Linked DNA regions of Macaca mulatta. The protein of the gene in region 4 interacts with the protein of the main gene of each other region in a biochemical or structural test. Links are inferred from orthologs where the notes say so. Each region holds a gene or a part of one and is shown on either strand. Other genes may lie near its edges.

Evidence for each region. The genes of interacting proteins can lie anywhere in the genome.
Region 1: the proteins of CCND1 (region 4) and CDKN1C form a complex in vitro, tested with the Homo sapiens proteins (2 studies listed by BioGRID). The link is inferred for Macaca mulatta from reciprocal best matches to the Homo sapiens genes CCND1 and CDKN1C.
Region 2: the proteins of CCND1 (region 4) and CDK6 form a complex in vitro, tested with the Homo sapiens proteins (3 studies listed by BioGRID and IntAct, with this or other methods). The link is inferred for Macaca mulatta from reciprocal best matches to the Homo sapiens genes CCND1 and CDK6.
Region 3: the proteins of CCND1 (region 4) and ESR1 form a complex in vitro, tested with the Homo sapiens proteins (2 studies listed by BioGRID). The link is inferred for Macaca mulatta from reciprocal best matches to the Homo sapiens genes CCND1 and ESR1.

The regions. Positions count from the first base shown.
Region 1 is NC_133419.1:2,789,244-2,795,201, reverse strand, and holds CDKN1C (cyclin-dependent kinase inhibitor 1C), read left to right. Parts: upstream 1-2,018; 5' UTR 2,019-2,033; coding exon 2,034-2,901; intron 2,902-3,435; coding exon 3,436-3,566; coding exon of another isoform or gene 3,567-3,571; intron 3,572-3,653; 3' UTR 3,654-3,658; coding exon of another isoform or gene 3,659-3,795; 3' UTR 3,796-4,352; downstream 4,353-5,958. UniProt on the Homo sapiens protein: Potent tight-binding inhibitor of several G1 cyclin/CDK complexes (cyclin E-CDK2, cyclin D2-CDK4, and cyclin A-CDK2) and, to lesser extent, of the mitotic cyclin B-CDC2. Negative regulator of cell proliferation.
Region 2 is NC_133408.1:126,534,515-126,540,455, forward strand, and holds the start of CDK6 (cyclin-dependent kinase 6), read left to right. Parts: upstream 1-2,001; 5' UTR 2,002-2,127; intron 2,128-2,780; exon of another isoform or gene 2,781-3,575; intron 3,576-4,638; exon of another isoform or gene 4,639-4,800; intron 4,801-4,912; 5' UTR 4,913-5,280; coding exon 5,281-5,513; intron 5,514-5,941. UniProt on the Homo sapiens protein: Serine/threonine-protein kinase involved in the control of the cell cycle and differentiation; promotes G1/S transition. Phosphorylates pRB/RB1 and NPM1.
Region 3 is NC_133409.1:70,390,866-70,396,768, forward strand, and holds the start of ESR1 (estrogen receptor), read left to right. Parts: upstream 1-1,963; 5' UTR 1,964-2,096; intron 2,097-5,903.
Region 4 is NC_133419.1:5,014,509-5,020,277, reverse strand, and holds the start of CCND1 (G1/S-specific cyclin-D1), read left to right. Parts: upstream 1-2,420; 5' UTR 2,421-2,624; coding exon 2,625-2,822; intron 2,823-4,352; coding exon 4,353-4,568; intron 4,569-5,155; coding exon 5,156-5,315; coding exon of another isoform or gene 5,316-5,345; intron 5,346-5,769. UniProt on the Homo sapiens protein: Regulatory component of the cyclin D1-CDK4 (DC) complex that phosphorylates and inhibits members of the retinoblastoma (RB) protein family including RB1 and regulates the cell-cycle during G(1)/S transition.

The DNA of each region.
Region 1 (5,958 bases), about 2.2 Mb from region 4:
CCTCTTTCTGCCCCCAGGCCAGTTGATATGAGCCCTGCTTGATGGGTTCGCAAGGCCTGGGGAGCCTTCTTCAGCTTCTCTTTGTTTTCCTAAGATGAAAATTGTGACATCTGTGCTTGTTGAAGGAAATTTGTAAATTGTGCGCAGAGAAGAATATGAAATTAACATAAATTGTCGCGTTTGGTTCTGCCAAGAGCCAAGAGTGGCTCTGGCCCCTCTCCTGGGTTAACACCCTGTCCTGTCCAGTTCGCCCCCCTCACTTCAGATCTCTCTTCCCCAAGACCCAGAAGACCAGCCCTGCTCCCCCAGCTGCATCTGCACGATGTCACAGCATTTCATGGGGGTGGGGGTGTCTTGGGACTCAGAGGAAGGCTGGTTGGGGTTCAGGGGACCTCACCTTCCCTCCCTCCCAGATGTCTCTCTGGCTGGCTCACAGGCTCACCTGAGATAGGGGCTTAGAGCTCATGGGCTGCTGGACCCTCCAACAGGTGTCTGACAGTCCCCCTCCCGACCTGGGAGGCTCCCGGTTTCAGGAGGGGGCTTCCTGCCTCATGGTAAGTGGGTCAAAAGGGAGGCAGCGGGAAATAATGGTCTCTCTTGGTCTGGCCTGGCTGGGGTGAAGCACTGTGTGTGTGTGTGTGTGTGTGCGCGCGCGCGCGTGTGTGTGTGTGTGTGTGCGTGTGCGCACGACCAAGGTCTGTACCAGGAAGGGCTGCAGGCGGGGGAGGGGCATGCTTCTTCACAGCCCCTTCCCCTGTGACCTCGGGCAGATCTTTCACTTTTACCCAGTACAACTGCCTCCAGCTAGCCTGGACAGGCAGATTCCGGGGCTGGAGTGGTCCGGCCCAAGGCTGAGAAGGGCTGGGACCCCCGACAGTGACATGATGGGCTCAGCCTCTGTTCCATCTACTGGGCAGGGTGGACCTCCGCAGATAGCGGCTTCAGACTCCAGCTCCAGGGGGCTGGTGGGAGTCTCTCAAGGTGTCCCACACATGGTCCCACGGGGAAAGAGTGGAGCTGACCCCTGTCCTCCCTCCCGACTCGAGGGCTTTAGGGCCAGCAGGTGTGTGAGGGCTCCAGGTGCGCGGAGCCCTCGAAAGGACACCAGCCCAGCAGCAGCAGGCCGCGCGGGGGCAGCCGAAGACCCCATCCGGCGCAGGCCAGGGCCAAGCTGGCAGCGGCGGGTCCAAGCCCTGTCAGCTGGCGCAGGAGGCCCAGGGGCGAGCGCGGGACGGAGCTAGGAGCTGGGGTCCGGACCGGGCCGGGGTCGAGCTGGGCCTGGCCGGACACTGGACCCGCCGGGAGCCAGCCCCTGCCGCGCAGGGCTGAGGCCCCCGCCTGCAGACAAAGGAGCCGGCGGGGGGCGGGAGCGGGGGGGGGGGGTTTGCAGGGGGGATGGGGCGAGGGGGCGGGGCGTCGCGGTGTCACGTTACCGCCCGCAGCGCCCTTTAACTCCCGCCCCCGCCCCGCTCACCGCCCCCTTCCCCTGCTACAGCGCGCTCGCCCCGCGGCCGCCAATCAGCCGCGCGCCCCGGCCGCGCGCCCCGCCCCTCCCCCGGTGGGTGTGCGCGCGGCCAATGGGCGGTGCTCTGGGGCCGGGCCGCGGAGGGGCGGGGCAGCGGGGAGGCAGCCAATCGCCGCGGTGTTGTTGAAACTGAAAATACTACATTATGCTAATCGCGGCCGGGCCCGCGCGCACGGGGGTGGGGCCCGCGCGTATAAAGGGGGCCCAGGCGGGCTGGGCGTTCCACAGGCCAAGTGCGCTGTGCTCGAGGGGTGCCAGCCAGGTCTGATCCAGCGAGCGAGCCAGCAGGCATCGAGGGGGCGCGGCTGCCGGCCGAACGAGACAGACGAACCCGACGCAGGAGAGTCTACCACCGGACAGCCAGGTAGCCGCCGCGTCCCTCGCACACGCAGAGTCGGGCGGCGCGGGGTCTCCCTTGCACCCGGCCTCCGCCCTCCCCTCCTCTCCTTTCCCCTTCTTCTCGCTGTCCTCTCCTCTCTCGCTGCCCGCGTTCGCGCAGCCCCGGGCCATGTCCGACGCGTCCCTCTGCAGCACATCTACGATGGAGCGTCTTGTCGCCCGTGGGACCTTCCCAGTACTTGTGCGCACCAGCGCCTGCCGCAGCCTCTTCGGGCCGGTGGACCACGAGGAGTTGAGCCGCGAGCTGCAGGCCCGCCTGGCCGAGCTGAACGCCGAGGACCAGAACCGCTGGGATTACGACTTCCAGCAGGACATGCCGCTGCGGGGCCCAGGACGCCTGCAGTGGACCGAAGTGGACAGCGACTCGGTGCCCGCGTTCTACCGCGAGACGGTGCAGGTGGGGCGCTGCCGCCTGCTGCTGGCGCCGCGGCCCGTCGCGGTCGCGGTGGCTGTCAGCCCGCCCCTCGAGCCGGCCGCTGAGTCCCTCGACGGCCTCGAGGAGGCGCCGGAGCAGCTGCCTAATGTCCCGGTCCCGGCCCCGCCGTCCACCCCGCCCCCAGCCCCGGTCCTGGCTCCAGCCCCGGCCCCGGCTCCGGTTGCGGCTCCGGTCGCGGTCGCGGTCTTGGCCCCGGCCCCGGTCCTGGCCCCGGCCCCGGCCCCGGCCCCGGCTCCGGCTCCGGCTCCGGCCCCGGCCCCGGCTCCAGTCGTGGCCCCGGCCCCAGCCCCGGCCCCAGTCGTGGCCCCGGCCCCGGCCCCGGCGCCGGCCCCGGCCCCCGTCCCGGCCCCGGCCCCGGCCCCGGCCCAGGACGCGGCGCCTCAAGAGAGCGCCGAGCAGGGCGCGAACCAGGGGCAGCGCGGCCAGGAGCCTCTCGCTGACCAGCTGCACTCGGGGATTTCGGGACGTCCCGCGGCCGGCACCGCGGCCGCCAGCGCCAACGGCGCGGCGATCAAGAAGCTGTCCGGGCCTCTGATCTCCGGTGAGCCCCGCACGGCCCCGCCCCGGCCCGGCCCGGCCCCGCTTTGTCCGGCCGGCCGGTCCCCCCAGCCCTCGGGGGCCTCGCTGGGTTCCCGCCTCCTCCCGTGGCATTAAAGGGCCCGCAGCGCTCAGGGCGCGGCTGCGCCCGCACCCCCCTCCCCGCCCCGTTGTTATGTCCTCCAGCGGCTTTGCGCGGGCGGGGTGGGAGGCTGAGTCCCGGCCGCGACCCCCCGGGAGCGCGGTCTTCGCCCCTGGCGCGGGAGCCCCTCCCCGGGCGCGGCCGGGCTCCGTGAGCACGGCGCGGAGGGGGTTAAGCGCGGCGGCGGCCCCGGGGGGCTTGGCCGCGGGACAAGGGGAAATGCTTACACAGCACATTGCGCGGCGACGTAAACAAAGCTGACCCGCCGCGGACCTCGGCGCGGGCGGGGACGGCGCCCCCACCCCGGCCGGCCCGCGCCCCGTGCCCTCTCCTGGCCCCCTCTCGGGGCTCCGGGCCGGCCCCGCCCTGACCGGCCGCGCGCGCTGTCGCCCGCAGATTTCTTCGCCAAGCGCAAGAGATCAGCGCCTGAGAAGTCGTCGGGCGATGTCCCCGCGCCGTGTCCCGCTCCCAGCGCCGCCCCTGGAGTGGGCTCGGTGGAGCAGACCCCGCGCAAGAGGCTGCGGTGAGCGAAGTGAGTACAGCGCACCTGGGGGGTGCGGGGGGCTGACCCGCGGGGTCCCCGCCGGCTTTCCTGACCGCCCTTCTCCCCACAGTTTAGAGCCCAAAGAGCCCCGAGGGAACCTGCCGGGGCAGCGGACGTTGGAAGGGCGCTGGGCCTCGGCTGGGACCGTTCATGTAGCAGCAACCGGCGGCGGCTGCCGCAGAGCAGCGTTCGGTTTTGTGTTTAAATTTTGAAAACTGTGCAATGTATTAATAACGTCTTTTTATATCTAAATGTATTCTGCACGAGAAGGTACACTGGTCCCAAGGTGTAAAGCTTTAAGAGTCATTTATATAAAATGTTTAATCTCTGCTGAAACTCAGTGCAAAAAAAAAAGAAAAAAGAAAAAAAAAAGGAAAAAATAAAAAAACCATGTATATTTGTACAAAAAGTTTTTAAAGTTATACTAACTTATATTTTCTATTTATGTCCAGGCGTGGACCGCTCTGCCACGCACTAGCTTGGTTATTGGTTATGCCAAAGGCACCATCCATCTCCCACATCCGGTTATTGACAAGTGTAACTTTATTTCCATCGCGGACTCTGGGGAAAGGGGTCACTCACAAGCTGTAGCTGCCATACATGCCCATCTAGCTTGCAGTCTCTTCGCGCTTTCGCTCGCTCTCTTATATTACTGTGTTTATCTTAAACTTGAAGACAAATCTGTTAAAATGGTTCCTGAGCCGTCTGTACCACTGCCCCGGCCCCTCGTCCGCCGGGTTCTAAATAAAGAGGCCGAAAAATGCTGCAACTCCAGTCTGTTTGTGCTTGTGCCTGCCTCCAGCTCCCTTCTCCTGCACCCCCAAAAGCTGGAGAGCTAGAACGCAGGAGAGAGCAGGCCAAAGTGGGCATCCCCAGTCCATCCAAAAGGGGAAGCCTCTCTCCTGGCTGGGCCTGGCCCAAATCCACCTGCTCCAGTTCCCTTATCTCAGGAGGGGCGGCCGGCCTGCAGTGCACCCTGCATTTATCACCTCCCACCTGCGGGGCTGCAGAAAGACAAGCGTGGGCTTCACATAGCCCCAGCAGGCAGGGAGCACAGCCCCTGACTTGCTGCCCAGACTCAGGCTTGTTTAAAGGAAACCATGAGAAACCCCTCTGCCCCCAGCTGATGGGCTCAGGACCCTGCTAGTTTGAGGATGTGCTGGGGTGGAGGGTGGGGAGCAGGACTCCACCAAGACACATCCAGTCCTACAGACTTTTCTTCAGGCCTTGCACCAGGGTCTCCCTAGGTCTTGCCACAAAACACCCAAAATGTTCAAGGTCTAGTCACACCTGCAGTGGAGGGGGGCAGCCTCGAAGCCTCTGAGGAGAGGGAGAAATGAGAACACAAAGGGGTGGTGCCCTGGAACCAGGAGGGCATGGGGAGGGGTGGTTTCTGATGACCAGGCTTTGGTGGAAGAAGTCGAGGCTGTGTGCCTCCCTGTGCACCCACACTGGGCCCTACCAGCCGACTAGTTTCAAAGCGCTCCCTCTTGGTAAAAGAGACGTTTATTATTTTTTTAATAGCTGACCTATAAACCTCTGAAAATTATGGCTTACAATGGAAAGGGTGACGTAAAATAGCAAAAACAGAACAGCTAGCAGTGTTTTTGCTGGTGCCTTGGGCTAGGAGAAGAAAAGAGCTGGTGGACCCTCATGGGGCCCTACGTGACAGTTGCTGACTTCCCTCCCCGCCGGCCCCGCACTGGGTCAGGGACAAAGGGGGGGCTCAACTTGAGATGCTCGAGATGTATTTAGACATATAATTAACTGAGCCTCCCCCAGCTGCCTGGAAGGGCTGGGCAAGGAGGGCGAAGGGGCTGGCCTCGAGGCCCAGCTGGGGCCAGACTCTGGGAAATGCCCCTGGGACCTGAGAGTGGCAGGTCCCGCTGCTTTGTCTCAGCAACAGGGACCCTCAGCCGATGGTAACGAGGGACCAGACCCATGTAGACCTGGCTTCAACCTTCAAACCTCTCCCCAGTGGAGAAACCGCAGCATTCACCTGTGTGAGCAGCACAAAGCCCTTTCCCTTCTGAGATAAAGGAGGGTGGCAGTGCCTTCTGCCCTGGGCTGGGAGGAGGCTGGACCACGTGCTTGGCAGGCAGTTCGTGGGTGCACAGGGTAACCTGAGTTAACTGTTTCTGGTGACCGATCTGCTAGGGTGGATCCTCATCATCCACAGTGGCATCTGCTTGCTGCCAGGCCTCCTGCTGCAGCCGGGGCTGGTGGGGCTCCTACCTTGCTTGACTTCTCACAGTCCTGGCCCCTGGGCACGGGACATGTGGTTGCCCAGCACCCTCTTATCACTCAAGGGTAGCTTTTTCAAAAGCAGTGTGAGGGCTTTGTGGGGACGTGAAGGTGAGGCCCAGTGCCATTTC
Region 2 (5,941 bases), on a different chromosome or scaffold from region 4:
TGTCAAATTCAGTAATTAAAACTTCAACCCAGTGTAGAAAAGACACTTCTCTGTTCATTTAAAAGATATTTGTAGCTTATTTTTTTTTTAAATAAGTGATTTATTCAAATAAATTCTAGCCATGATGTGCTGGTTCCTATTTACTGGCAATTATTTCTGGATTATATAAACGTGTTAATTACCATCAAGTAAACCTTGTTTTAAAAGGCAAATGGTAAGTGTGAACAATTATCCAAATGGAGGATTCCCATTTGTGTCTCTGGCTTAAAGTCTAGTGATTTGTAGTGATCTAATATTTTATGTAAATATAAAATCTAATGATTTGCCTTATTAAATTTATAAGATATATGAGATTATAGATAGCTTTATAAATACAAATTTTGTTCAGAAAACTGGATCTTATTTTAGAAGACATGCTCTTAACACAAATGTATTTTATGAATTATCTTAAGCTTAAAGACATACAATTATTCACTTTTATTTTTAAAGAAAAAAATATTATAATGCATTGCAAAATATGTGCTACTGGAAATGCATCAATTTTTTATTTCCCTAGCCTTACCTTATACTATAATATAGAATCAATTTTATAAAGGCAAAAATTTGATTTACTATGAGATCAGTAACATGGTTTTAAAGTCAAAAGATTTATAGAAGTAGTATGTCCAATTCAAACAGAATTTTGCCGGGTTTTAATTTTTCTACAAAGCACTGAAGTAAATAATTTTGTGAAAAGTTTTTCTTTAATATGTTTTAAAGGGTTTCAAGTATTCTACAGATAGAGATTTTGGGGAGAACACCAAATTCTTTCCAAAAAGACAGCTATTTCAAGTTTTCTTTTACTCCATTGTAGAAGGTTTTAAAGACTTTTTTTCTCCAAAAGCTCATTTTCACCTGAAATAATTGTATTCAAGGGTTTCTCAGCAGGTAAAGTATACATTCTTACAAGGTTTCAAATTTCAGATTTCCAATAATGCATTTAAACTGAGCACTCCTCTTTCTGTGTATGTATCTATTATCTGCAGTTCTATTATTTACACTAAATTTTAGTCTTTTTAGCTCCTCTGAAATACGTTAGTGAACCCTCAGCAGTTACTAACCACTTAATAATTGTGAACCCGCCAGCCCCTTCAAGTAGATCGTTAACCATAAGAGTGCCTGACAATTTCCAAACCATACCCTCTGTCTAAAAGGAAAAGATAGGGCTTTGTGAGGCAGAAAGGAAGCGAAGGAAAACAAAACAAATGTAGCTCATGCTGAAAGTGAAAAGTGCTTGAACAGATTAGTATTTTCTTTTCTGCAAGGCATCCTGCCAAACTTTTTCTTTATTTTTTTAAGAGAAGAGTTATTTTTTGGTCTGATTTTTCAGTTTCTTGGAAAGTATTGGTATTTACCACCCCCATCGGCCCTTCATAATTATTGTTAGTTGTTTTGTGTTTTTCCCATCCGTCCACGTCACACAGTGAGGATACCCCCTGCTTCACCCTGTCAAAACCCCAACTCTGGGCGACCCTGGGTTTGGAAACTCCGCCGACTCCCGACGACACGTCCCACTCTCTCCCACTAACGCCGCTTATTTTAGTCGCAGGATCCCCCTACTACAGTTTCAGTGAAAGCCGGAAATTTTCATTTAACTCCCCTGCCCCCCCAACCCCCCCGCCCCGCGCCTTTCTAGCCCCCGACTCGTAGAAGGGAGCTAGGGAGCCCGGAGCTCGGAGCACTGCCGGGGCTTGGCCGCCTCCTTTCTCTCCGGAAGGCTTTAATTTGCACACTTTCTTGCCACTGCGCCACGAGCCCCCAGCCTCGCCGCTGGGTGGGTCTCCGGCAGAGTTGGCTTCTCGGGTCCCTGCCCCCACCCCGCGCGGTCGCCCCCGCTGCCTCCCTGGCTGGGGCCCCCAGCGCCGGCCAGAGCCCCGCGGCCCCCGTCCGCCCCCAGCTAGCGGCGCGGGCGGCGCCCTCCGCCTTCCCTCCGCCCTCCGCCGCTGTGCCCACCCCCTCGCCGGAGAGAGTGCTGGTAACTCCTTCCCCAGAGTCTGATTACCTGCTCCGCGAGGCCGCGGACACGTGCGGAGAGCCGACTGACACTCGCAGCCCCCTCAGGAGGCCCGACGCGACTGGGCCCCTCAGGTGAGGAGCTGTGCGCTCGGGTGGGTGGGCTGCGGGGTGGGGGGTCCCTGGGGAGATATGGGGGATTGGCCGGGGTCCGAGGCAGAACTGTGGGTGGGGTAAGTGGAGGCTGGCGGGGGGTGGGGGGGACCTGTGTTTCCCTGGAATCGGCTTTGGTTAACCCCTTACGAACTGAGACGGCGTTGGTTATGGGGGCCAGTTTTGGGGAGCTAGAGGATTCTAATCTGACGAGAGGGGGAGATCCTACGCTAGGGACACCCGCGACACCGAGATCCTGCTTCCACGTACCCGTGCGCACACACACTCACACAGAACACTCCTCATCCAGTTTCTCCAAACGGAACTGGAACTCTACTCGGACATTCACATAATAATTCACATTTAGGGTTCAAAATGCACTGCCTCTAGGGACTCCATGCTGGAGAATGTGCTTGCATTTCCCCCACGAAAACTCCCTCGCCAGCTCGCTGAGGTGTGGGTGTGGGCTCCACCTTCCCCTCCACGAGATAAATGTTAACGCAGGCTTCCTGCGGGCGTGTTATGCACAGAAGAGTGCACGCAGCCGGCCGGTGCCCAGGCTTGGAGCCCCACGAAGACGCACGTTTGCTTTAGTTTCCAAGTTTACTTTTATCATTTAAAATATTGGAGTTAAACACACGCCCCGTGGTGAGCAGCCCTTGTCCCCGCAGGGCGCCCGTCCGTGTGCATATGGGCGCATCTGCGTGTGCGCACACGCGGGAGTCGCGGTCCCCGGTGTGGCCTCTTGTTGCCGTGCTGGTGGCGACCCTTGTGGTGCTTGGCAGGCTTCGGGAGAGGCGCATGAAGGATTTCATTGAGTGTGAAGACAGAGAGCAGAGACAGAAAGCAGAAGGAGGCGGCTGCAGCCTTTGTAGTCGCGGAGGAATGCGGAAATGTTGAAGCACTATGTCAAACTTTTTTTGAAATGGGGTCAAGTCACATTCAGCCAGCGTGGGAAAGCAACAACAACAACAAAAAAAAAGTGGAGGAGAGGGGGGGAAAAGGCATTGCTGCTCCCGTTTCTCTCCGCCGAAGCCGACCGTCTGGGGGGCGAGTGGGGGGAGAGTCAGGGTAGTGCGGGGCCCGGCGGGGGCAGCAGGCGAAGTTCCCTGCGGGGGTGGGACGTCCCCGACGCTTCCTTCGCTGCGGAGCCCGGGGCTAGACTCGAGCGGGAGGGGGATGGGGGGACGCAGGAGAGGCGGGTTGGGCGGCCGGCGGCGGCTCCCCGGCTACCTGTGTGGCCCTCGACCTGGCTCAGACGCCCGGGCAGTCCTTGGGGGCTCTTTCCTCGGCTTTTAAGGAAAGTTCTGAATGGAGTGAGTGCCAGAAGCACTGCTTTCGCCGCGGTCCGCTCCACGCGCTCATCGTGGGGGTCGCGCCGTTTGTTTAATTCCTGGCAAAAGGCGAGCGGGGCAGCGGTTGCGAGGCAGGTAATTCCGAGGTGCCCCGGGAATTCCGGACACGCGGCCAGCGTGGTGAAAGTCCTGCCGAGGCCGCGGCGGCCGTGGGGGAGGGAGGCTCCCTAGGTCCCAGATAGCTGCTGAATGGGGAGGGAAAGTTAGGGTACCCTTCTCCGGCGCTTTGTTATGCAGAGGGCTCCGGGGGCGTCCGGCTGCAGCCTGGACCCGGCCTTTAGCCGGAGAGGGAATGGGGCAGCCACCTCCGCTACCTACAGCGGGGTGGTCCTGGGAGTGGGAAAAGGTTCGCGAGTCCGGGCCCCGAGGGCAGAGACCTTGTTTCTCACCCCTGGAGGCGCAGGGTTTAACCCCCCACCCCCCACCCTTTGAAAGAGAGGTTGAGTTTTGCTCAGGTCGAAATCAATTTAAAACTTCAGGACGAGGCGCGATTAAGCTATCCTCTTCCTGAAATTATTCTTTAAGAAGACGACAAGCGAAATTGTGACGAACACCCCTTTCTCCCACCCTTGGGATCCCGTGGGGGACAGTGTCTCCCCTCCCCCAGGACCTCTCGTTCGCCCACCCCCGATTAGCCCCAACCCTCCCCGACCAGATGGCTGGTCTTCCCAAGGTTTCCACCAGGGAGGTCCTCCCAGTCGGAGAGAGAATTCCGTTTCCAACCGAGACTCCTTTACCCCAAAGAGACCATTTGTGTATGCGAGTCGTTTTTAAATGTCTCCTCGTAGAAAAACTGAAAGTAGAAAGAAAGGAAGCAATTTCTGAGCAGATGTCTGACCACCCCTTCTCGCACACTCACAGCATCGGGTTACAGGGTCCTGGGAGCCCCCACCCACATTCTGCGGCCCCACACGGATGGACCCACAGTCCTTCCGCTCCAGCTTGTGCGCGACCCTTGAACGCCCTCCGGCACCCCTGGACCCCATCTCCCTGCACGTCCGGGCCTCAGGAGGCGGGGAGGGTAGCGACGCAACACAATGATATAGGGATAAATATTAAGCCGTGACATTGACGTGCCCGGCGCCTCCCCTCCCCCGCGCTCCCGGCACACTCTGGGCTGCTCGGCACGCCCCCTCCCGTTCCACTGCGTCCCGCGCCGCTCGCTCATCCCCGAGGGGCCCCTGCAACCTCTCCGCGCGAAGACGGCTTCAGCCCTGCAGGGAAAGAAAAGTAACTTCGCTTTTCTCGGAGGAACCAGGAAGGATTAAGCGGCTTGGGAGAGGGCAGGAGCGCGCGGAGGGTAGCGATGGAGGCTTCGTAAAGGAGGAGGAGGGGAGTCTGGAGGAACCCCGAGGAAGGCTTCTGGGCTGTCTGATTGCACTTTCTTCTTATCCTCCCGTCTCCTCCTTTAGGTGCAATGATTCTGGACTGAGACGCCCTTGGGCAGAGGCTATGTAATCGTCTCTGTCTGTGCTGAGGACTTCGCTTCGGGGAGGGAAGAGGAGGGATCGGCTCGCTTCTCAGGCGGCGGCAGCAGCGACTCTGCAGGCGGAGTTTCGCGGCGGCGGCACCAGAGTTACGCCAGCCCCGCGGGGAGGTCGCTCCATCCAGCCTCCGCAGCCGCGAGAGCCCCAGCGCCCGAGCGCCTGAGCCAGCAGGGAGCAAGGAAAGCTAGACCAATCTCCGGGGAGCCCCGGAGTAGGCTAGTGGCGGCCGCCAGCTAGTTGAGCGCACCCCCCGCCCGCCCCAGCGGCGACGCGCCGGGCGGCGTCCAGGCGGCATGGAGAAGGACGGCCTGTGCCGCGCTGACCAGCAGTACGAATGCGTGGCGGAGATCGGGGAGGGCGCCTATGGGAAGGTGTTCAAGGCCCGCGACTTGAAGAACGGAGGCCGTTTCGTGGCGTTGAAGCGCGTGCGGGTGCAGACGGGCGAGGAGGGCATGCCGCTCTCCACCATCCGCGAGGTGGCGGTGCTGAGGCACCTGGAGACCTTCGAGCACCCCAACGTGGTCAGGTGAGCCAGGGAGCTGCGCCCTTGCAGTCTGGGGCCGCGCGCGCGGGGAGGGCCGAGCCGGGAATCCTCAGGCCCAGAAAGGTGTGGGGCAGAGGGCGACTGGGGAGGTCCTGCGCGACTTGTTGATCTTACAGAGTGAGAGTTAAGTTTTGTCGACAGAGCCGCGAGCCAGAACCGGTGACCTTGCCAGACAGCGAGCCGAAAGACGAGTCAAAAAACATGACCTGCGCAGGCTTCCCTGCAGCTGTGCAACTTAGAAGCGTTTTCTCCGTGCCCTCCCTGAAGGAGGGTCCGGGGGAGGTGGGTGCGTTTTAGGGACAGGATAAGCCAACCGGAGACATGCCCCGCTAGCTCCCGCATATTTTTACTGGCCATGCCGTTGGGGAATTTTTGAAAGACCTAGTAGGTGAGACTGGAGAATGAGGATG
Region 3 (5,903 bases), on a different chromosome or scaffold from region 4:
CATTTGGTGTCTGTCCCCAGAGCTGCAGCCCAGAAGGTTGTCCTCAGAGGCGAAGTCCAGGCAGTGAGGAGCTGTCTGCCAGTAGGCAGTTGAAGAAAAAAAAAAATGACCTGGGGAAAAAAAAAAAAATCTTCCACTAATGCTGCCAGGCTGCAGGGAGCTGGAAATGAAGCACCAACAGGAGTGGGTATTTAATGGGGAAGGGAATGATCAACTGCAATTTTTTTGGTACCCAAGACTTTCCACCTTCACACACACACGAGATGCTTTGAAATAAAGATAGTCAAATGACTTAGTAAAGTTTGTTGACATAAAAATATGGGAAATACCAAAGAATATAGAAAGGAAAACTTCATTAATATTATTCAAACTTAAAATTCTAGATTGTATCAACAGTAAGGGGGTTGATGAAAACATGGGAGAAGGCCAAGGGATGTGAGATCGGGCTCAATTCTTGACTTGCTGGGGAAAGGTATCAACACAGAACTTTTAAGAATTAGAAGGCATTAAAAAGAAATAGAAATCCTGAATCAAATTGAAACAGTAAAATAAAATAGTAGAAAGATGTGTAAATGTATCACTATCACAATAACTATAAATAGGTTAAATTTGCCAGTTGAAAGAAAGGAACTATTAAATGAGATTTAAAAAATTTGGATATATGCTTTTCGTGTGAACATACCTAAAGCATATACACGTAACCAGAAAATTAAAAGATGGAAAAATCTGCAGAGAGTGACAAAGGAAAGCTGGTGCATTTGTATTAGTATCAGATAAAGCTCATGTTTAGATAAAAAACATTATAGTAATAGAGGAAGTCAAAAGGTTAAAGTTTCAATTCACCAAGAAATATCCATTCTAAACATGTATACATACCCAATTAAGCTGCCTCAAAATATATATGACAAAAATTTAGAGAATTGTAGAGTCAGATATAAGGATTGAAAAGGAAGAAATGAAACTAATTATTTTCAGATGATATATACATTTACATAAAAAACTCCAAAGAATCTTCAGATAAATTATTAGAAATTGTAGGAGAGCTCAGCAAGAAGGCAGGATATAAAATTAATATACAAAAGTCAATGTCATTTCACTATACCAGAAAAAAGACAATAACATTAGAAAATAAATCTAACATAAGATGTAGAAAAACTTATTAGAGGCAAAATTTTCTTGAGAAATATTAAAGAAGATCTAAATAAGTAGAATTACATCATATTCATGCATAAGAAGGCAACATTTTGAAGATGTCTTGTTATATATAGGCCTAGGAATAATATAGTTTTAAGTTATGTTATTTTGAACTGTAGGTGAAAGAAAGCTCTTTTTTTTCCTTTGAGTATTTTAAGATTTTGAATAAAGTCATAGTGCTCTAGGAAGGTTGTAATATTTTATACTTCGCCAGCAGTGTTTGAGAATGCTTACTTCCTACATTATAACCACCATAAATATTTAAAACCTGATAGCACACAGTTTTAAAAATTTGAAATTCTCCAATTAACAGTGACCTTTAAAAATTATGTTTACTGGTCTCCATTATTTTGTCCTTTGTAAATTTTTATTAGTTTTTCTGTTCACATGTTCCATTTTTAAAATAGACTTTTAAGAGCTGTTTGTATTAAGAATATTAAGGCTTTGTCCCTATAATTAGTATTTTTCAGAATATCCTTTCTAGGTACAGTTTTTCAGTTCTAGTGCACAGAATGGAAACTTGTTACCTGCTATACCACATTTTCACTAGGATGTGATGTATTTATCACAAACAACAGTATTGGTCAACATTTTCCCTCGCTGTGAAGTGCACATTTGACATCCTTTAGAAAAATTACTGACGGTTTTGAGACGATTGTTTTGTGCTTTCTTTCAGTCAACGTAATTTTCCCGAAAGCAGAGATGACTCTTCCAGACATGCTAACAATGCCTGAACAAACTGTGTAAGCTTAGTCCAAAAAAAATATTTGATTAATAGATTTTATTTTGGTAGATTCTAAGGTTCTAAGCAGTCAGAGAAATAATCGCAGAGCCTCAAATATCTCCAAAATCTGATACCAATCCCTTTGATTGTGAATTATATTCTGTAGCTACCAAAGAAGGTAAGTTTTAATTTTTTCTACTCTATTAACTTTCTCTTGGGCAACTGAATATTAAGATGACTATGTAAGGAGGTTATCAGACCAAGGCCTCACACATCAGGATAAAAGCACATGCCATAGAAAGAACATTTGTGTCTCACAAGGTGATACCAAGGCAAGGCTATGGGATATATATGGGCACAATGTTGATATCTTCAAAGACTTAATACATAGTCTGGAGGTTTTCAGAGATTTTAATTTATAATGACAATCTTTCAAATTAGGAGAATTTTTGGACTGTAAAGTTAGCCAAACAAGTCTTCAATGATAAAAAACGTCTATATCTTACACAGGGGGAATACATTTTTTGTTCGTTTTAATTTTTTCTCTGTCTATTCATACAGGGGCATCACATGTCTTTATCATTAAAAACTCTGATTTAGATAGACAGTTGTAGAGAAATTTAATGTGTGAGAATTTAAAGTTGTTTTATAAAGATGTAGCAAAATACAAATTTAAGACCCACAGCACCAATGAAAAAGGGAAATTAATTAAACTAGACAACTTTTATGGGTACTACCCATTAAAATTAAAATTTTAGTCATTGTAAATTATATTACATTGTAACAGTTTTCAATCTGTTGTCAAGTTGAATATTTTGGTTGACAATTGTATTTCACAGTTGTTCACACTTTGCATAATTTTCTAAGGAAAATGAGTCCCTTGGGGAGAAAATTGTTCTAAAATTTTGTTGTTGGATAATGTTGCTGCACTAACATGATTTGCTGAAGTGGATCTACCATGTGTGTTTAGGTTTTTGTTCTTTACGAAATGTGTTGGGTGAAATTTTCCATAACACTGGTGAACTTTTCATGCTAATTTTCCAGTCCGTCAGTTTAAATATTATGCATTTTTTCCTGCGAATCTATCTTGAATCTGAAAAGGCCCCAGAAGGAATTAGCATGAGTCCAGAGTAGATGGACTGCAAATGTTACTCATATTTCAACATGTATCCAGCTTTCAGAAATAGCTTACTGAAATCAAGGTTGAACCACATGAAATTTTGGGGTTTTTTTGGATGTAAAAAAGGTTAAATATTGACATTTTCATATCATCCAATCTAATATCTTCCTCTAGTGAGGTTCTGGCAAAAAAAAAAAAAAAAAAAAAGTATGATGACCCAAGTTGTTCACTCTTTTAAGCTTTATATTTCAAAATATTTTTAAAATTTAAAGCCATATAAGTGCATCCCAAAAAACATGGGAAAATTTTGTAGGCTACTTTTGTTTACTGATTTTTCTTCTATAGATTTATTTTTATGCTATGCCTGACTCTCCAATTAGATTTTAGTCATCCAGGAAAGTACAATTGCTTGTACTTCTAAGCAATTCTCCCATCACCTGGACATTAACTGCAGCCCACACTGCAGTGTCTTGACTGCAGTAGGCACTCAGTAAATATTTATTGATGGTCCTGATTATGGGATGATGAAATATGCTAAAGGTAACTTAAACTTTTGTCAATAAAACTGAGTTTCAGGTTAGTTTGACCTTTTCCGTATCTCTAAATATTTTCTTTCATGTCATTTTTGTGAAATAGCTCACAAAAGTACTTATTGATTCTGAAATCCTTTTCCCCTCTGGTATTCCTGAGCTATTCTCACACACAGCACACCAGTGCCACCGTTTGCTGTTTTGGTTAAAATCATTCTCATTAATATTCCTCATTCAGTAAAAATAGTTGATTCTCAGTTATAAATATACACTTCATATTGGCAATGTGGGATGGAAAACAAAATGATGATATTGACTCCATAAGATAAACAGCAGTCTTTAGAATAGAGTTTGGTGCATAACTGTTCTAAATGTATCAAAGTTATCTCATTTAATCCTCCCACACACCTGTGGGAAGAGAGTATTTGTCTTGCTTTACAGATAAGGAAGCTGAGGCTTAGAAGATTCATATGTCTAACTAAGATCACAGAGCTGGTAAATCAGCCAAGTTTGAGTCTAAATCCAGGTTTTAAATATCATATTACATGTAGGCATAGATAAGCAAGAACAGGTTTTCCTGAAGATGGCCAGGCTAAGGCTTAGAAGAAGGAAGCTCAAGGAGACTAAACCAAGATATGCTAAGGCAAGTTTTTTTGTTTGCTTGTTTGTTTTTGAGACCGAGTTTCGATCTTGTTGCCCAGGCTGGAGTGCTGTAGCATGATGTTGGCTCACCACAACCTCCGCCTCCTGGGTTCAAGTGATTCTCCTGCCTCAGCCTCCCGAGTAGCTGGGATTATAGGCATGCACCACCATGCCCAGCTAATTTTGTATTTTTAGTAGAAACGGTGTTTCACTATGTTGGCCAGGCTGGTGTCGAACTCCTGACCTCAGCTGATCCGCCCACCTCAGCCTCCCAAAGTGCTGGGATTACAGGCATGAGCCACTGCGCCTGGCCTGCTAAGGTAAGTATTAACCATTAGAGATGACTAGTCCCAGTGACAGGTCTTTCCTACTGGGAGTCAGCCAAGAGCTCCCCACTTTTCTGGTTCCGTTGTTCCTCCTGCAAAGTTCCATTCATAAAGTGGTTTCCCATTTGATTGTCCAATGATGCAAATCTCCAGTCCTTTATAGCATTGAGTTTCTCATGGCCTTTTACCGTTGAGTTTCTCATGGCTAATGAATGCTAATGAATTGGTGTTCCCATTTATCTATAGGATTCCATGAGTCAGCCTCTAAAAGAAGGTTCCACTCCCTCACTGTGGGTACCGTCTGGGAATTAGACCCTTAATAGGAGTAATTCACCAAGCAATGTCTTCTGTAATAACGCTCCAGTCTCACTGAGAGCTTTCTATTCAAAACAACAATCTAAAGGTCTACAGTGTGACTTTCAACTAAACTGAAAAAAGAATAGAAAATGAATGTATGTGATGTACACATTCATTCAACTTCTTATCCCTAAAATTCATAGCAGATTATGACTGATCATTAAAGCCAAATTAAGGAGGCAAAAGGTATAAAACAAAAGGAACTATCAGGCATAATAGTCTTTAAAGTAAAACATTACTACTGACAGTTGCTTGTGTGAAAGATATCTTTATTTAATATGGTAAAAAGAACACAGGAATTGCTGGCACTTACTGTATGTCCATTTTATGTCCATCTTAAAATAGATATGCTGGTATAGTCATCAGATTAGCACTTTAGAATTCAATAGTTTCAGAGAAATCAGAATGGACATTCTTTACATGTGCTCATCTGGCAGGAGAATTGAACAAATCCTTTCTATAGGAAAACGTAAAATTCCTAATAACTCCACAGGACTGTATGACTTGGGCTGGCAACTTCAGTGAATACAGCAGAGTTTGGGCAATGGGAAAGGGTACAATTGTGTTCCTAAACTTTTAACTTTGCGAGGCAGTGACTTTATTTCTTCTTCATGATTTTGCAGTGAGTTCAGTACAGCGGTTAGTTTCAGTACAGTTCAGTGGCTAAGCTTTTGAGAGGTACAGTTCTATGTTCTAACTCAACTTCTACCACTTGTTAGAAAGTGACTCTTGTCAAACTATTGGCCCTTTCAAACCTCAGTTTCCCCATCTGCAAAACTTTATTCATGTTGTGAGGGTTAAATGAAAAATATGTAAAACTCATCAAAATTTTAAGCACAAAATACCAAGTCTCAGCACAATACGTATAGTAGGAGTCCAGCCATTAAAATTCGAAACAGGCAGAAGCAAAAATATTTTGTTTAGAAGTACTTGCATTTTCTAGATCTTTGGTTGGGTGGACAACATATAGGTGTTCTTTTTCTTATTTTTTTTTTAAAGCATACATATAT
Region 4 (5,769 bases):
CTCCAAATGGTCACCAAGAAATAAGAACAGAGCACTTTAAATGAGCCCAGAAGCCGCAGTTCCTGCTTCGTGGTGGGTTTTAAGAAGACAGTGTAAAGTAAAACTGCAACAGAAAAGTTTTTTAAAGTTGCTTTTCCCTTTGGAAAAAAATCAAAATGCTTTCTCTGCGCTTCTTGAAGCAATGACCCTCAAAAGCCCAGAGGTATTGGCCCCCTCAGGGGACCCGGGGGCCGCTAAGCAGGGTTCCCCCAGGTGGAGGCTGGACAGCTGGCGCTCCCCGCCGGGCCCCAAATTCCAGCGCCTCCCCCGCGGGTTCCTGGACGGCTCTTTACGCTCGCTAGCCGGGCTTGCAATTTTGCGCTCGTCCCTGAGCCGGGAAATCAACAAAGTTCCTAGCCTAGATCTGCCCGGTCCGCCTAGTAACAGCGCCGCGCCCCCATTGGCTCATGCTAATTCCAGTTTCCTCTGTCTTGCGCCCGGGATGGGGGGGTGAAGCTCCCTCCTGGACCCAGAGCCGGTTTTGCCGGAGTGGGCGAGCCTCTTTATGCCGTGCTGCCCCTAGCCGACTTCGGCCCGCTTCGCGCCTCGGGCTGGGCCAGGGCGCACGCGGGGCTCGGGGCCCCTCGACCCCCGGGGTGGGAGAGGCCGGGTGATAGCTCCGGGCCCCATAAATCATCCAGGCGGCCGCCGGGTCGGGATTTTATGAATGAAAAAGCAGCTGGGCCGCCCTCGTGCGCGGGCTGATGCTCTGAGGCTTGGCTATGCTGGGGCCAAAGCGATTATGGGTGCTCGGGGAGTGGGGGGGACACGACCGTGGGTGCTCCCTGCTGGGGCCACCCATCGCTCCCCATGCGGAATCTGGGGGTAATTACCCCCCAGGACCCGGAATATTAGTAATCCTAATTCCCGGCGGGGGAGGGGGCACGGGAGGAATTCACCCTGAAAGGTGGGGGGTGGGGGGGGTCGCATCTTGCTGTGAGCACCCTGGCGAAGGGGAGGGGACTTTTTCTATCCGTTTTCTTTGAGCTTTTACTGTTAAGAGGATACGGTGGTTTGATGACACTAAACTATATTCAAAAGGAAGTAAATGAACAGTTTTCTTAATTTGGGGCAGGTACTATTAAAATAACAAAAACAAAAGTTAAGACAGTAAAATGTCCTTTTATTTTTTAATGCACCAAAGAGACAGAACCTGTTATTTTAAAAACTATGTATTTTAATTTACATCTGCTTAAGTTTGCGGTAGTGGGGACCCTCTCATGAAACCACGAACACCTATCGATTTTGCTAAAAATCAGATCAGTACACTCATTTGTTTAATTGATAATTGTTCTGAATTATGCCCGCTCCTGCCAGCCCCCTCATGCTCACGAATTTAGTCCCAGGGCAAACTCTAAAGGTGAAGGGACGTCTACACCCCCAACAAAACCAATTAGGAACCTTCCAGTGGTCTTGTCCCAGGCTGAGGCGACTAATATTTCCAGCAATTTAATTTCTTTTTTAATTAAAAAAATGAGTCAGAACGGAGATCACTGTTTCTCAGCTTTCCATTCAGACGTGTGTTTCTCCCGGTTAAATTGCCGGCACGGGAAGGGAGGGGGTGCATTTGGGGATCCCCGCAAGGACCGACTGGTCAAGGTAGGAAGGCAGCCCGAAGAGTCTCCAGGCTAGAAGGACAAGATGAAGGAAATGCTGGCCACCATCTTGGGCTGCTGCTGGAATTTTCGGGCATTTATTTTATTTTATTTTTTGAGCGAGCGCATGCTAAGCTGAAATTCCTTTAACTTTTAGGGTTACCCCCTTGGGCATTTGCAACGACGCCCCTGTGCGCCGGAATGAAACTTGCACAGGGGTTGTGTGCCCGGTCCTCCCCGTCCCTGTATGCTAAATAGTTCTTGAAATTTACACGTGTTAATGAAAATGAAAGAAGATGCAGTCGCTGAGATTCTTTGGCCGTCTGTCCGCCCGTGGGTGCCCTCGTGGCGTTCTTGGAAATGCGCCCATTCTGCCGGCTTGGATATGGGGTGTCGCCGCGCCCTAGAGTCCCCCCTTCTCGTGGTCTCCCCAGGCTGCGTGTGGCCTGCCGGCCTTCCTAGTGGTCCCCTACTGCAGAGCCACCACCACCTCACCCCCTAAATCCCAGGGAACCCACTCGAGGCGGACGGGGCCCCCTGCACCCCTCTTCCCTGGCGGGGAGAAAGGCTGCAGCGGGGCGATTTGCATTTCTATGAAAACCGGACTACGGGGGCAACTCCGCCGCAGGGCAGGCGCGGCGCCTCGGGGATGGCTTTTGGGCTCTGCCCCTCGCTGCTCCCGGCGTTTGGCGCCCGCGCCCCCTCCCCCTGCGCCCGCCCCCGCCCCCCTCCCGCTCCCATTCTCTGCCCGGCTTTGATCTCTGCTTAACAACAGTAACGTCACACGGACTACAGGGGAGTTTTGTTGAAGTTGCAAAGTCCTGGAGCCTCCAGAGGGCTGTCGGCGCAGTAGCAGCGAGCAGCAGAGTCCGCACGCTCCGGCGAGGGGCAGAATAGCGCGAGGGAGCGCGGGGCAGCAGAAGCGAGAGCCGAGCGCGGACCCAGCCCGGACCCACAGCCCTCCCTAGCTGCCCAGGCAGAGCCCCAGCCATGGAACACCAGCTCCTGTGCTGCGAAGTGGAAACCATCCGCCGCGCGTACCCCGATGCCAACCTCCTCAACGACCGGGTGCTGCGGGCCATGCTGAAGGCGGAGGAGACCTGCGCGCCCTCGGTGTCCTACTTCAAATGTGTGCAGAAGGAGGTCCTGCCGTCCATGCGGAAGATCGTCGCCACCTGGATGCTGGAGGTGCGGGGCTTTGGGCGGCTCTCTTAAGACTTCCCTGCAACTTGTTGCCCAGACCCACGTTTCTTTGCTCCTCACCCCCCTCCCTTCTCTCCCGCTAGAACTTTGAAGTTTGCTGTGGTGTTGCTAGGGATCCGCATTTTAAAAATAAAAATTGTGGGTATTTTCTGAAGCAGGAAGGGGTGGGGGTGGGGGTGCTATAAGTTGCGTTTCGTGGGAGGGGAGAAGGGGGTTGGGGAGGGGTGCCGTCGGGAGAAGCCAGTGTCGGGGCACCCCAATGGGCCCGAGGGTGCGGGCTGGCAGGCTGAGTGCGCTTTGTGCCCCCCGCCTGCGCCCCAGCCCGGCTGCGCCTCCTCTCGCGGCCGCTGCGGCCGAGAGCCGCCAACTCCGGGGGGAGGGGGCATAGATTTGATTTTTAAATTAATATCCATGGACACGTATGCAAGGGCCGCTCGTGCCAGTATTATGCGCCATCTTTGCTCTTTTATTGCAAAGCAAAAGTGTTTATTAATAATTGGGGGCAGGGTGGGGGCGGGGAGCGGCCGCCGGGCGCTGGGGCCGCAGCTAGGGGCCGCGCGGCCGCCGGGAGCCCGCGGGAGGGGCGCAGGGACGCGGCATGGGGAGTTTTGGGGGGACCCCGCTCGGGAAGGGGGGCCCTTTGTTTAAGCAGCGAGTCCCGGGGCGCCCCAAATGGGCAGCCAGGGCCGGAGAGCACGCCGAGCTGCAAGGTCGCGTGGCCCCCAAGACGCCAGGGCTTGATCCCCGTCTGCAGGGATCTCGGCTTGGGGGACCTTCTCTGAGGGAGCCGGGGGCCTGGGAGCACATTTTCAGACCTTCGGTGGGCGCCTGAGGGGCCCGCAAGTATTTTTAAATAATTTTTGAAAGTGCGGCGTGGTGCCCTTGCGAGAGGGAAACGCCGCCCGCGCCCAGGGGGAAGGGGGGCCCCGGAGTTTGAATTCCTGGGGCTCCCCCCGGAGCCTGTAACGAACTCCCGACCCTCGGCCTGGGTAAAGGGTCGCCCGAGGGTCATTTTCAGGGTTTTTTTATGCACTTAGTTATTTTTTTAATATTTTTAAATATTTTTTGAAAAGATGACGTCTGGGGAAATGCGGCGCGGCGGCCTGGGACGCCACCTTTGTGTCTCGCAGGCGCGGCGCCCAACCCCGCGGCCCGTTCCGCGGCCCCGCACCCCAGTGGGTGTCGACCCTCAGTCAGAGGGACCACGGAGCTCCAGGGCGGGCCGGGGTCCCCAGGGCTGGCAGCCCGCGCCGCCGCGCACGCCGCCCAGCTGTGCCCGCTCCCGCCCCCACCGTGCCAGCCTCGCGGGGACTTTCCCTTTCAGTTTCGGGGAGGGTGGGTACTGGGGACGCGCGGGGGAGGGGGCGCATCACAGGAAGGTCCTTCCGCCCCCGGCCCCCACCCCTCGGCGCCCTTCAGAACTGGCGGTCCTGCCGAGCGCGATGGGGGGGTGCGGGGGCGGGGGTGGGGCGGCGCGACCTGGCGGCGGCGGTCACGGGCCCCGTGCCTCCGCAGGTCTGCGAGGAGCAGAAGTGCGAGGAGGAGGTCTTCCCGCTGGCCATGAACTACCTGGACCGCTTCCTGTCGCTGGAGCCCGTGAAAAAGAGCCGCCTGCAGCTGCTGGGGGCCACCTGCATGTTCGTGGCCTCTAAGATGAAGGAGACCATCCCCCTGACGGCCGAGAAGCTGTGCATCTACACCGACAACTCCATCCGGCCCGAAGAGCTGCTGGTAACCGCGGGACCCCGCCGCCCCCTGCCCCCCGAGAGTCGCACGCAGGATCACGGGGCCGGGGAAGGTGCAGGCAGTGGCGGCCGGCCCGCCTCTGGCATATCTGCTCCCAGGGAGGGCGGCCCCGCCGCCGGGCGTCCCTGTCCCGGGAGCGGGCGGGATCCTAGCCGCCCCCGTCCCACCGCCCCCAAGTCGCTTGCCTGCGACTCCCACCGCGTTCGCGCCCGGCAGTGTGGCCGAAAAGTGGGCGGCGCGCGCCCTCCAGCGGCTGCACGAGGAGCGCCGCGCTCCGCACTGAGCCTCCTGTTTCAGGTGGTGGGAGGTCTTTTTGTTTCCACTTGCAGAGTCTTTTCACGCAGCGGGCACCTTTTCTGTTTTGATCTGGGATCGCGTGTTGCCCCGGCTCCCCGATACCACCCCCATCATTCGCCAGCCCTCCCCTCCCACCTCCAGGACCGCACGAGACGCAGGAGCCAGTGCTCTGAGCCGGAGGTGCTGCATGGCCCCGGGCCCCCATGCTGCCGGCTTCCCCGCGCCCCCGGGCCGGCCCGCACCTCCCCTGATGGCCGCTCACCCTGTGTTCGCAGCAAATGGAGCTGCTCCTGGTGAACAAGCTCAAGTGGAACCTGGCCGCCATGACCCCGCACGATTTCATCGAACACTTCCTTTCCAAAATGCCAGAGGCGGAGGAGAACAAACAGATCATCCGCAAACACGCGCAGACCTTCGTTGCCCTCTGTGCCACAGGTAGGGTAGGCCCAGCAGCCCCCGGCCTCCGCTGGAGAGCCAGCTCCTTAGGTGACCCTGGCCGGCTTCTCGCTCTCCACCGGGGTGATGTCTGGGAAGATGTCCCTAGGCTCCCTCCTGCGCTGGGAAGCGCTCTTCCAGCTCTGGTGAGCAGAGGCCCTGGATTATTTGTTGTGCTGGATGGAAGGGGATTTGCTCCCTCACGGCCACCATGCAGTACCTTGGGCATCGGTGTGGACAGCTCGGCCTGCCTGTGTCCAGCTTCTGTGGCCTCATCCTCCAGGCCAGGCAGCCTGTGGCCACTCCATGCTCAAAGGGGTTTACCTTGGCTGCAGGGCCGCCTCCTTTCCCCACCCACCTCCAGCCCTTCTTGTGTCCTTAAGGAGCCTGAGCTGCAGGGCCCCCTCCTGGCCTCTCCCAGGCTGGGCCACCTGCCAGAGACGCCTCCAGGGGC